Ovis aries: one gene and its partners. The protein of the gene in region 3 purifies or fractionates together with the protein of the main gene of each other region. This does not show direct contact. Links are inferred from orthologs where the notes say so. Each region holds a gene or a part of one and is shown on either strand. Other genes may lie near its edges.

Region 1 (4,316 bases), on a different chromosome or scaffold from region 3:
CACTAGTAATCTCTCTCTTAGATTTAAAATTAGCATCACATTCTTGACTCAACCAATAGTAAGTTTACATTCAGGACCTTATCACCCCCATTTGGAGTTTGGGAAGTAATGCAAACACCCATTCTCAGCTAGTACTGTAGGAATTTTATCTTACATTTCTTTCCAACTGAAAGCTCTCTTCACTAAGGAAAAAGGCTGCCCCTCTTCCAGCCCTGACCTCCTCCTCCTCCAGCATGGTTTTGGAAGTGAGCCAGATGACAGCATTTGGAAAAGCACACATTTATCTCAGTAAAGCCGGCTGTTTAACAAAAAGGTGGAGGAGGTGAGAAATACTGTAATTTAAAGTTTCCTATATCCCCCCTACCCATGGTTCAGTTATATTGTAATCACTGGGAGTCAAATGAAACAGTTTGCTCTACTTTCCCTCATAATCAGCACTCTCAGGCAACCATTTGTTCCAAAACTCCTAAGCCAACTAAGGATAAACATAAACCTGTTACAAAATAATCTTTGTCAAAGTGTTACAACATATGCCACTTGAAAAACAGCAACAACAATAAACACTGTAAGGAGGAAAGCCTAAACTCAACACTTACCTGTAACCCAAGTTACTACTAAAATATTTAAATGCTAGAACCAGGACAAAATAGTTAGGATTAAGTCTTATTATTGCCTCAGTATCAACTTTTATTTAATTCCATATCTTAATAGTAAATCAGATGTACAAGACCATAAGGTCTTTGATTTGAACAATAAGTATGAAAGATAAGAACAGGGCTTTTCAAAGTAGATCCACATAATAACATCAGGTCTGAACATATACATACATGAATACACACATACATACATACACACACACATATATCTGGGACTCGTAGCCTTTCTACTTCTTCACACAGTACTAGCGCTAGCTTGAAGAAATTATTCTACATCACCATAAGTATAATTTAACTGAAACAATACTTTTACTATCACCACTTTCTGGACTATCAATTTCTATTGATCCAATGTGAGAAAGACAAAAAGATTCTAAAACCTCTATTCCTATGAAAACACAAATATTAAAAACTTTCTGTAGGAGAAAACTCAGTATCGGTGAACGAAGTAATAACTAATCAGATAATTATCATCTGTTTACCACCAACAATAAAATTAATTCGGATAATATAACTGGGCTAGTTGTTCTTAAAACCTCATTTTGCATCACTTCTCCCAACAAAGCATCCTTAGGTGTGCCACACTGAAAGGTGTTCAAAGACCTTCACCACTTCCGTGATTCTGGAATAAATTTCTTCAAGTTGCCCTCTGCCAACCAAGTTCATCTGGTCTGGAGCTAAGTTTTATCCTTTATTCTTTCACATACTATTGAAGGAAGTATGGAGTCCATGCACAGAATGGTTGCAACCCCTACACATTTCAAACTGGCCACCGCTGTTTTCTAAGATCACCCAAGCCACATTTTCAGTGTCTCAACTCATCCCCATAGTTACACAATTCTAAATGTAGGAAATAACTTGCATAAAATAATCCTCCTGCGGGGTCAAATTACACTCAGAGACATAGCAGTCTCTACACAGCCATCATCAAACTGACCACCTACACCGCAGGACACCGCGGTGAACACCGGATTCAGGAGAAAACATGAGCCTCAGCAACACAATGGATTAAACCAGCCAGACGCCTGCAACTTGCAACTAACTCCTTAAATACGCTTAAGTTGGACATCTACAGAGCACCATTTTGAGTTCAGAATCTGCAGTTCACGCCTAAACACAACCGAGCAGACCACTCAAATGGAGGTTTGATCTGACAGAGGTAGAGGTTCGAGACAGTTGCACTCATTTCGCTGAATCCCTGAGACAGTCGAGAGCCCAACACCGCTAGAGCTGCGGCCGGGATCTGCGGCTCCTCCGCCCCCGCCCCGCGATATGGAGGCAGCAATCCTGCATCTTCCGTGAGATTCCCAAAACTGCGTGTAACCTGCAAGCGAAAGATTCTCCACCGAGTTAACGCGCAGGGAACCCCTGGATCCACATCTGCACATTTAACAGACACGAATCCATTAACGAATCTCATCCACGAGAAAACGGTGCAGACGAGGCGACGCACGAGCGGAGGTGGCCCCCGAGGCGCTTCGGTTCCGCGCTCCCAGAGCTGGGCAGCTGCGGTTCGGCTCCCGTCCCTCGTGCGCATCGCCCGGCAGCCTGCAGCGCCGCGAGCAGCCCACCTGATTCCAGATCCGCGGGAGGCCGAGGGGCCCCTCCATGCTAGCAGAAGCACGCCCGCGCTTGCTCTGACCACCCCCCCCCCCTCCAAACAACGGCGGGAGAGGCCCCACACCGAAAACGCCCGGGTTCGTGCATGCCATCAGAAATGCAAAACCCGCGCGGGTGACTGCTCCCGGAGAACCAATTCCACCAAAGCATCGTTTTACGCACACCACTCACGCAATTGCCGTGCGGATCGCACCGGGCACCGCGAGCCTCTCGCCCCGCGCGCGCCCGCACCCGGGCCCCGCGCAGCCAGCAGTTCCTCCCGCCGCCCCGCGCTGCGCATCCTTCCCGCCGGGACCCGCGGCGACCCCTCGCGCTCCGGGCCCAGCCGAACAAAGGCGACGCCAACAGCTCCGCCGGCTGCGGCGACTCGGAGGCCCGGCCCGCGCTCACCTGGGCTCCGTCCCCGGCGGCGGCGGCGGCTCCTCGGAGGGGCTCCCGCGACGCGGGCCTGGCGACGGCGGCAAAGACCACTCCGGCGGCCGCCCTGAGGCCTGCGGGGCGCTCGGGCGGTGGGGGCCCGCTCAGCGCCGGCGCCGCGGGCTCAACTCCCGGCGCGGGCGGCGGCGGCGGCGGCGGCGCGGGCGGGTGGGCGGCGGCGCGTCCCGGCGGGTCCAGGTCCGGCCCCGGCGACGCCGCGACGCGCCCTCCTCCTCGCGCCCGCAGGCGGGACGGCGGCTCCGGCGCGGCCCGCGATCCGAGGCGGCGGCGGCTGACCTCGGCGCTCTGCGCTCGGCCGGCTCCGCTCTCTCCGCCTCCGGCTCGGGCGGGCCCGCGGCGGCGGCTGCGGCGGGAGCGCGGCGGGCGCGGGGACGGCCCTGTCAGGGGCGGTGGGGGCGGCCGGGGCGACGCTCAGGGCTGCGGGGCGGCGGGGCCGGCGGCGGCGGCTGCGGCTCCAGGGGCCGTCGCGCTGAGGTGCGGAGCTGCCACCGCGGCCATCTTGTTGCTCTAACTGACAAGAACCCCCCTCCCCCCGCTTCAGCCAGACGGGGCGCTCGCGCCCCCTTCCCCGCCCCGCCTTGGCCTCCAACAGGAAGTCGTCCCGGCCCCTGGCACGTGACTCCACCGTATCTGCATACCGGAGGGCCAACTGGCCAATCGGCGCTCTGAATACGAGCTCCGCCCCCGCGCGCCCCTCCACGGCCCATTGGCTAGTTCCAGCCAAGCCACACCCCCTTCTCCCCTCCCCTTAATACCCGCCCGAGCTGTCTTTCCACAGACCGCGCGGGGAGCGCGCCAGGGTGCGATCGGGTACGCGCTCCGCGTTGTCGGGCGCGGGCGCGTGCGAGTCCCTGGGGCTCGCGGTCTCCCTGGGGTGCGTGGAAACTCACGCGGCTTGCTTCCTCGTCTGAGGGTGCTGCGACTTCGCATTAGCGAGCTCAGCCGCGAGGTGAGGGCCCGGCCGTGCGCGTCCGCTTGGTTCCCCCAGCCGGCCCCCCGCGGCACCCTAGCCAGGGTTTTGCGCGGTATTTTCACTCGGCGGCGCTGGCCTTGTATTGCAGCAGAGCTCGGCGGCCGTACTGGCGCGCGTCCCGCCCGCGCCGTGCACACGCCCTGCACCTCCCCACCGTGCACACACACGTACACGCGCCGGCCTGGGCCCGGGAGCATCCTGCTCACTGCGCGCCTCCCAGGCGTCCTCCACTGCGCAACCGCTCCCCCGGGAGCGCCCTGCTGCGAGCCAAACAAGCCTCACTGTGTAACCGCCCCCGGGAGACATCCCCTTCCCGGGAGCGCGAGTATTCTGACCCCACCGGGCAAACTGCTGTTGGGCCGAACCCCGGACGCTCGGGCTCCCGTACCCCACGGTTCCTTCCCGGCGCTCTGCACCCGATAGCGGTCCTCCATTCCGCCGCTCTTCCCATACACACTAGTCATTAATCGTGGGTAAGATCAGGAGTGATGTGCGATTTAAAAGTCACCTTTTAACTTTCGGTTCAAGTCACGAGAAAATACTGAAACCAAGATTTCTCTCCATTTTCATGAAGCGTGGTGGAAGCAGGCCAGCTTTCCGCTTTGCGCAGTGGAGGCTCAGCGGTGCTG
Region 2 (3,641 bases), on a different chromosome or scaffold from region 3:
AGTCAGCCCATTCAAACTCAAGCACAGTATGCCTCACCGGTCTTTATGCAGCCTGTATATAATCCTCACCAACAGTACTCTGTCTATAGTATTGTGCCTCAGTCTTGGTCTCCAAATCCCGCACCTTACTTTGAAACACCACTGGTAAGTGAGATCCTTAGAGAATATATGGTTTTTCACTGAAGCTGAAATTTGAAGAAATCAGAGTTAGAGTTCTTGTTTTATTTTGTTTTGTATTGATGGTGGTTACTTTATAGGCTTTAAATGGTGATAAGTATATTTAATACCCCAAATCAATTTAAACATTAAAATTTTCTTTTAGGCTCCCTTTCCCAATGGTAGTTTTGTGAATGGCTTTAATTCACCAGGATCTTATAAAACAAATGCTGCCGCCGCCGCTGCCGCTGCTGCTGCCGCTGCCGCTGTAAATATGGGTCGACCATTCCAAAAAAATCGGTAAGGTAAAATATGATAGCTGGAATTTATTGTACACAATTTCTGGTAGTTCTTACAGTCAGTATGTTAATAGCAATGCTTATTTTCTAACATAATAAAAAGGTCCCACACCCCCCCCCCCCAAAAAAAGTGTATGTTAACAATTAATCAACACACTTTTACCTCAGAGTTGATAATGCATATGAAAAGAATTTGGGACTGAGATTATACACCAGTATATATTGACTTTTTTTTTTTTCTTTTAATAAAAACGAGAACAGAAAAAATTTTGTGGTAACAATATAAAATCTGGTTTCTAGGTACCATTTAATGTGTTAAATAATGTTTTGTAGAATGAGTTTTTTGATGGTAGAAATGTTAACGGGTTTGAGTAATAAAACTTGGGAGAGTGAGTTATTTATCGTTTTTAAGGATTGACTTGATTTCCACAAACTATGCTGTGCTGAGTCACTCAGTCATGTCCAACTCCTTGCAACCCCAAGGACTGTAGCCCGTCAGGCTCCTCTGTCCATGGGGATTCTCCAGGCAAGAATACTGGAGTGGGTTGCCATGCCCTCCTCCAGGGGATCGTCCCAACCCAGGGATCGAACCCAGCTCTTCTACATTGTGGGTGGATTCTTTACTGTCTGAGCCACCATGGAAGCCCGTTCATTACTGAGTCATGTCTAAAGTTCTGTTTTAAGGCCTTGGTTTGTTATATCACTATTAATTTTCATAACCCTGTAGATACAGTATTGTGTCTATTTAAAAGAAGAAATTTGAGAAATAAAAATGTTATATATCATGTCCAAAAGCATGTAGCCAGTAGCTTGCAGAGCCAAGATTTGAGTCCAGGCAGTTTGATTCCAAAGCCTACACCTAAACCATAGTATTCTGAATAAATTGTTAAGAACTCCAGAATCTCAGTTGAGATTATCAACTGGTAATCTCAGTAATTTGGTATATAATATGAGTTTTGCTGGAGTGTAAGTAACCAAAGGAGAAGGGGCTCAGATTTATTTAGTTGTTTAGATTTATTTAGTAGTTCACATGTATTATTTCTCTGCCTTGTGAGCCTCCTATGTTGTTTTTTGTGTTCAGTTATTTCTGTTCAGTAATTTTTTTTTTCTTGCCAGAATGAGAATTCTCTTACTTGGTTCTTTTTGGCAAGGAGACCACATGTGGGGTATGTTTTTCCAAAATAGCTTTTAGGAACTTAATTCTTTTTTATAAGGTTTTTCTGAAACATGCTTCACTGAAGAAACAAGCCTTCCAGTATTGGAAAAAAAAAAAAAAACTCAGTAGATTCTAGAAGCATTCATATATACCACTGTCTAATAGATTTTGTACTCAATTTTAACTGACACGTTTGGTTTAAACATTGGAAGATCTTTGTTGTTGTTCACACTAGGAAGCTTGTAGAATCTTAGTTCCCCAATCAGGTATTGAACTTGGGCCCATAGCACTGATAGTGCCAAGTCCTAACCACTGAGACCACCAGAGAATTCCCTGAAGGTCACTTTTAAATGTTTGGAAATTTTTACTGTATATACACATTCATAAAGACTTCCCTGGTGGCTCAGACGGTAAAGTGTCTCTACAATGCAGGAGACCTGGGTTCGATCCCTGGGTGAATTGTTCTATGAAGTTTCAAATGAGAACTCTTCATATTGTAAGAATGAAGGATTCATTATAAACAAAAGATTATTTGTGCTCTTATAAATGACTGTTAGTTTGATACAGTAATAAGAACAAAATTCAGGTAATTGCTAGGACATATATGTAGAAGTTCAATGAGCCTTAAAACACACACTGTCCTCTAACCTCCATCCTGTTAATAAAAAATTAATTACCATATACACATAGAGATAGTGATGTTTAAGTCTGGAAAGACCTTTGTTATAGTGTCGTTTTATTCATTTTACAGATGAAGAAACTGAAAGTTGAGGGGGATTGTTATCTTACTAGGGTTACATGGCTTTTTATTAATTAGCAAACCTGAGATTAGTATATTTCTTTTTCTTCTACTATAGCTAGTAAAGTTTTTTTTTTTCTTGAAAATAATTCCATTAATACAAATGACAGTTTATACTTCCCTTATGAGGAGATAGATTTCTTATGATTAGAAAGTTACTTTGTAGAAATATGTATCTGTTGATTTCACTTTTCTTTGAAGGGGTGAATTTTGCTTTAAGCAGTTAAATGAAATAGACATCTTGGTTATATGATAGACTAAAAACAGTTTTCAGTAACAACAAAAAGTGTTTGCAGATGTTTACCTTAAAAATACGTTATGTGGGTTTATGGTATTCCTTTATTGTCACTTGATGTTTTTATCTGCTTTGCTTTCTTGGCAGAAGAGGTAAATTTGCAATAAGAAACCCAAGAATGACAGTCAAGTCATTCTTGCTTACAAGGAGATGTATGTGTGGTTTTGGAGATACAGATTTAGTATGATTTTCCTTGTTACTCAAGTCTATTTGTGTATAGTTTTATCCATATATTTGACCAACGTAGATAGTTACTAATTTTTAGTCACAGAAATAATACACAGATACTTCCTTATAAAAATGTAGATGTTGGAGATGAACTAGAGCCTGTTGACTACAAACCCAAATCTTGATTTCCATCTTACTTCTAAGAAGTGACTACTGCCAAGCCTTTATTTTTATATAAGTCATTGGTCAAGCAGCAGTTTATAATACTAACCTTGTAACAGCCCAGTGATGATCATAGGACTAACTTTCAGAAATCTGGGCAATTTTCTTCCTTTAATACTTTATCTTTCTGTCACATTCCTTCTCGTCTTTTATCACATTTCTTTTATCATCCTTTCTTCCTTTGCCTGGACTTCGATTGTAAGTCCCTCTCTGTGAAGGGAAAGATTATGAGATCTGGGGGCTTTTTAAACCTAGTAACTTGTCTTATTGGGTGTCTTGATACAGTGAGAAGATTTTGGTGATAGTTTCTGAACAGATACATAAACAGCATATGTACCTCCTGAGGTCATTTTCAGATCTGTTGGATAATATAAATGTTTTGAAAATTAGTTTGTGTTAGTTGACACTGAATTTCATTGCTATTCAGAATCTATTTTGTATCATATAAGTAATTTTCTGGAAAAGTATCATATGTGAGACTTAGCTAAAATTTATAGCCTGGTATTTATGCTTGTTTTAGTAGTAGTACCTTTATTTGTTACATTT
Region 3 (4,110 bases):
TCTGGAGAGACGGTCACAGTGTTCAGGTAGCCTGTGTGGCCGATGTGATTGGTCTTCAGCTTACAATTTGCCAAGTTCCATACCTAAAATTGTGGGTCAAAGGTGAAGAACCTGGGCTCTGGATCTATCAAGGTCAAAAAAAGGCATGGCACCATGCTTAAAAGGCATCCCTGGATAGGAGAGCCAATTTCCATTCTATCAGTGACAAAAAAGTCCAAGAATTATTAATCTTGGCCACTTACGGTCAGTTAAGGGACAAAGCTGATTCAAAGTTGATTATGACCAACTGGGAGGTAGTGGGAACACATTCTGGTTGGTAAAGGCCTCACGCCCTGGCTCCAAGCTCACCTTGACCAGCTTGTCCCAGCCACAGGAAACAATAATGGGATTGCTGCTGTTGGGCGAGAAGCGGACACAAGACACCCACTCTGAATGGCTTTCATCCTGCAGAGGATGGAAAGGAAATAAGGAGAAACTGTCTCGTCTTATGAAACTCGAGACCCCACCCTCCCCGCTCAGTTATGTGGGATATATATTCAGTATGTTGACAACCTGTATTCACACTTCCAGAACCCAAACCTTTAAGATAAGATAGAATCCCTTTAGGTTCCAGACGAGGCTTAAAATCACCATATAAAAGCACCAGTTAAGAAGGATGGGGGAAATGTTCAACATATGCTCCCTGCATGTGCCTTTACTTTACCTGGACAGTATATTTGCATACACCCAGAGTATTCCATAGTTTGATGGTTTTGTCTCGGGAGCCAGAGACAATTTGCCGGTTGTCAGAAGAGAAGGCCACACTCAGCACATCTTTGGTATGGCCTACAAATCGGCGAGTGGTGGTGCCCCTGAGAAGGAGGACTTGGTTACTCTCTAGAAAGACTGCAAACATTCTTCCAGTCAGGCTGTTTCCCTGGCCCAATTCCTCACCCAATGGAGCTGCGTTACCCACACCACCCTGGACATGGCTTTGATAAACGGCAGGCCCTTGGCCGAGAATATGCCAGAGAATCCCTTCAGAATTGCAGGACATGTCCTCACTCCCATGTGGGGATTGGCTGACAATGTCATCTGTCATCACCAGGATCCTCCATTATGCCTGACCACCCAAGACTGAGCTCCCAATATACAGTATGTTCAAACATGTTGTCTAGTCCCAAGTGCAGTATCTGATAAAACTGCTAAAACAGACCACTCTTCAGCAATTCTGTGTATCTAATTAAAAGCAACGGGGAGGGAGGCCGAACCACCACAAATATCTTCTCCAGGTACTGTGCCTTACAGTTCCCACTCAAGTACCCAATCACTACCCTGGGAAACCTGATGGTATCTACCTGCTTTCTACCCAGCTTTCCCCCAGTGCCCCAGAGCAGCTACTTGCGTTGTGAGATCCCAAAGGCGAAGGGTTCCATCCCAGGAGCCTGAGAGGGCAAACTGGCCATCTGAGGAAATGACCACATCACTAACAAAGTGGGAGTGACCCCGAAGAGCACGCTGTGGGATACCATAGTTGGTCTCATCTCTGGTCAGCTTCCACATAATGATGGTCTTATCTAAGGGCAGGTTAAAACAAAACAAACAAAAAAAAAGACCCAGTGAAAAAACCCCACGGCTCACCATCTGACCTTCTGGATCATAAACCAAGGGCATTTAGGGGTAGGGAAACTACCTAAAGGCTGAGAGTAGTTATTAGCCAAGTCCAAGTAACTTTAGTCAAGAGTCAAGCAGAGCTAAGTTGCACCCTGAGAATTTAACTCAGGTGTGTGAAACTTTACCAGGTTATGGATGCCCCTTTCGAAAATCTAAAACGATTCCACATCTATTTATTGGGCTTCCCTAGTAGCTCAGATGGTAAAGCATTTGCCTGCAATGCAGGAGACCTGGGTTGAATCCCTGGGTAGGGAAGATCTCCTGGAGAAGGAAATGGCAACCCACTACAGTACCCTTGCTTGGGAAAATCCCAAGAACTGAGGAGCCTGGTAGGCTACAGTCCATGGGGCTGCAAAAAGTCGGAGACGACTGAGTGACTTCACTTCCAGAATGCATGCACACAGCAGGCTGGATATGGAAGAGTAGCTGTGGGCCTCCTGAAACTACTGCTAAAGGATGCAAGAAATACTAGCAATAGAAAATCCACTTTAGGCGCTAAGGACTGGATGCTTTCACTGCAATGTGTTCCACTGAATAAACTTTCCTAGTAAGTGCCATACATGATTGTAGCCTCAGATGAACTATTTTTAAATAGCGTGAACGCAAAAGCAATCGCCAAGAAGTCTCCAAATGCAGTCAGGTACAGAGAGAATGAGAAGGAAAAAAAAAGGGGGAAGAAAGGGCTGCCCCGAAATAGCCGAGAGACTAGACACGAGGTCCGCCTTGGAGTCCACTTTTTAATGAGCAGAGGGTCCGGGCAGCAGCTCAGAAACAGCCTCTGGGTTTCAGCATAGGCACTCAGATGGCATGTTGGGATCATCACGGCGCCGCCCGACCCGAAGGCTCCTGGGCCCACAGATACATACACGGGTTTGAGAGGTAGCGATTAGAAAGGCCCCAGCCTTGCAACCCTCCCGGCAGCCAGCTGTTTCGGGGCTCGCCAAGTCGGGGACGCATCACCGGTTCATCCGCGATGAGGCCTAGGCACAGGTCAACTCACAGCCCACCGGCCCAACCATGTGACGCGCGCAACGACCCCTGCCCCTTAATCCAGCACCTCAGCCCGTACCTCGAGAGGCGGACAATATCATGTCCGGGAACTGGGGAGTGGTAGCGATCTGGGTCACCCAGCCGTTGTGGCCCTTGAGGGTGCCACGAAGGGTCATCTGTTCAGTCATGGCGACGGAGAGTGCGGGTGTCGCCGGAGCGACAAGGATGGAACTGGATAACTCAGAGAGGCGACCCGCACAACCGCTTCCACCGCGGCCCTGCAGAGGAAAAGAGAGAACCGCCCACGCCGGATCCGGAAATACCCGCCCTCTCGAACGAAATGGCGCCCTCCCATAATTCACTTCTGCTCAAGGTGGCAGCGCCATGTAGTTCAAAGGGAGAGATAAAAGAAGACTTCTGGTCCAGACCGTCGTACAACGTAATTTGGTAGCACCGTACAAATTCCCTTATTAAACCAACATGACTGAGTATTTAAAAAGGCTCCTTATGGTAGGGGAATGATGTCTCAAAAGCGTCAGAGAGGAAGTACACGCCCCAGAGCTTAGTAAGGGGAGCCTAGTGGCTTCACTGGCCTTACGTGGCACAGTCTGAACCCCTCCCTTTCCGCTTGGTGGCTCGGAGGGCATCGCAGAGGGAGCTTAATTTCATGGGCACAATTGTGAGTAACGGTGGGCGATGTGAATAATACTATATTAAAATTTCAAAGTAAGCTGCGTTCAGGTGAACTGTTAAACCCTAACAAATTCCATGCGCGGGCGGCGACTCTTCCCTCAAGAGGTTTATTCACTAATGGTGTTGGGTGAAGAAAGACAGTCCACCCAGGACTAAGGCAGGAATGGGTTACAGAGAGGAAAACCGGGAATGAAGGATAAGTTAGTCTGTGGGCTGCTGGACAATAAACCCCGCTCCCGCCTAAGCAGGAGCGTGGAGAGCTCTCGCAGAAACTGAAAGGCTTCAAGAGGAAGGTTGGCTCGGGCAAAACCACCTCATAAAAAGGTCCTTGGGTCTGGGTGTCTAGACGTGCCCAAGTATTTCTTTTCTGTTTGTCACGTGTATTATTTTCTCATGAAATGAGATTGGGAATAATAGTACCTACCTCACACGGTGTGGAGAGTATATTAGATAGGTAAAACACCCAGAGAGACCCCTGGCAAAGCAAATGCACAGAACTTAGTGAGCACCTCTTGGTTACCAGACGCAATTTTAGGTCTTGGGAACATAGCTGTGAACAGGTTAAAAGGGACCTGTTTCTTTGTTTTTTGAGTTTACATCCAATGAGATGGGGGAAAAGAGCTCAAGGGGGAGATTTTTAGCAAAGAAAGATATAGGAGAGATCTTTCGGGATTTATGGGTGGATGTTCCAATCCGAGGAAAGAATCAGTGCCAAAGTTCAGAGCTGGAGCGTTGAAGGCCCTGGGGACCAAACCAATGCAATGGGGGTGGGGG

Evidence for each region.
Region 1: the proteins of RACK1 (region 3) and TNRC6C purify together in Homo sapiens (affinity purification with mass spectrometry; 3 studies listed by BioGRID and IntAct, counting the BioPlex papers as one, with this or other methods). This does not show direct contact. The link is inferred for Ovis aries from reciprocal best matches to the Homo sapiens genes RACK1 and TNRC6C.
Region 2: the proteins of RACK1 (region 3) and LARP4 purify together in Homo sapiens (affinity purification with mass spectrometry; 3 studies listed by BioGRID and IntAct, counting the BioPlex papers as one, with this or other methods). This does not show direct contact. The link is inferred for Ovis aries from reciprocal best matches to the Homo sapiens genes RACK1 and LARP4.

Annotation. Positions count from the first base shown.
Region 1 is NC_056064.1:53,493,985-53,498,300, forward strand, and holds the start of TNRC6C (trinucleotide repeat-containing gene 6C protein), read right to left. Parts: upstream 2,802-4,316; 5' UTR 2,667-2,801; intron 2,236-2,666; exon of another isoform or gene 1-2,235. UniProt on the Homo sapiens protein: Plays a role in RNA-mediated gene silencing by micro-RNAs (miRNAs). Required for miRNA-dependent translational repression of complementary mRNAs by argonaute family proteins.
Region 2 is NC_056056.1:135,862,513-135,866,153, reverse strand, and holds part of LARP4 (la-related protein 4), read left to right. Parts: coding exon 1-144; intron 145-322; coding exon 323-456; intron 457-3,641. UniProt on the Homo sapiens protein: RNA binding protein that binds to the poly-A tract of mRNA molecules. Associates with the 40S ribosomal subunit and with polysomes. Plays a role in the regulation of mRNA translation.
Region 3 is NC_056058.1:38,114,165-38,118,274, forward strand, and holds the start of RACK1 (small ribosomal subunit protein RACK1), read right to left. Parts: upstream 2,898-4,110; 5' UTR 2,832-2,897; coding exon 2,723-2,831; intron 2,483-2,722; exon of another isoform or gene 2,415-2,482; intron 1,557-2,414; coding exon 1,385-1,556; intron 1,092-1,384; exon of another isoform or gene 1,013-1,091; intron 852-1,012; coding exon 704-851; intron 445-703; coding exon 349-444; intron 84-348; coding exon 1-83. UniProt on the Homo sapiens protein: Scaffolding protein involved in the recruitment, assembly and/or regulation of a variety of signaling molecules. Interacts with a wide variety of proteins and plays a role in many cellular processes.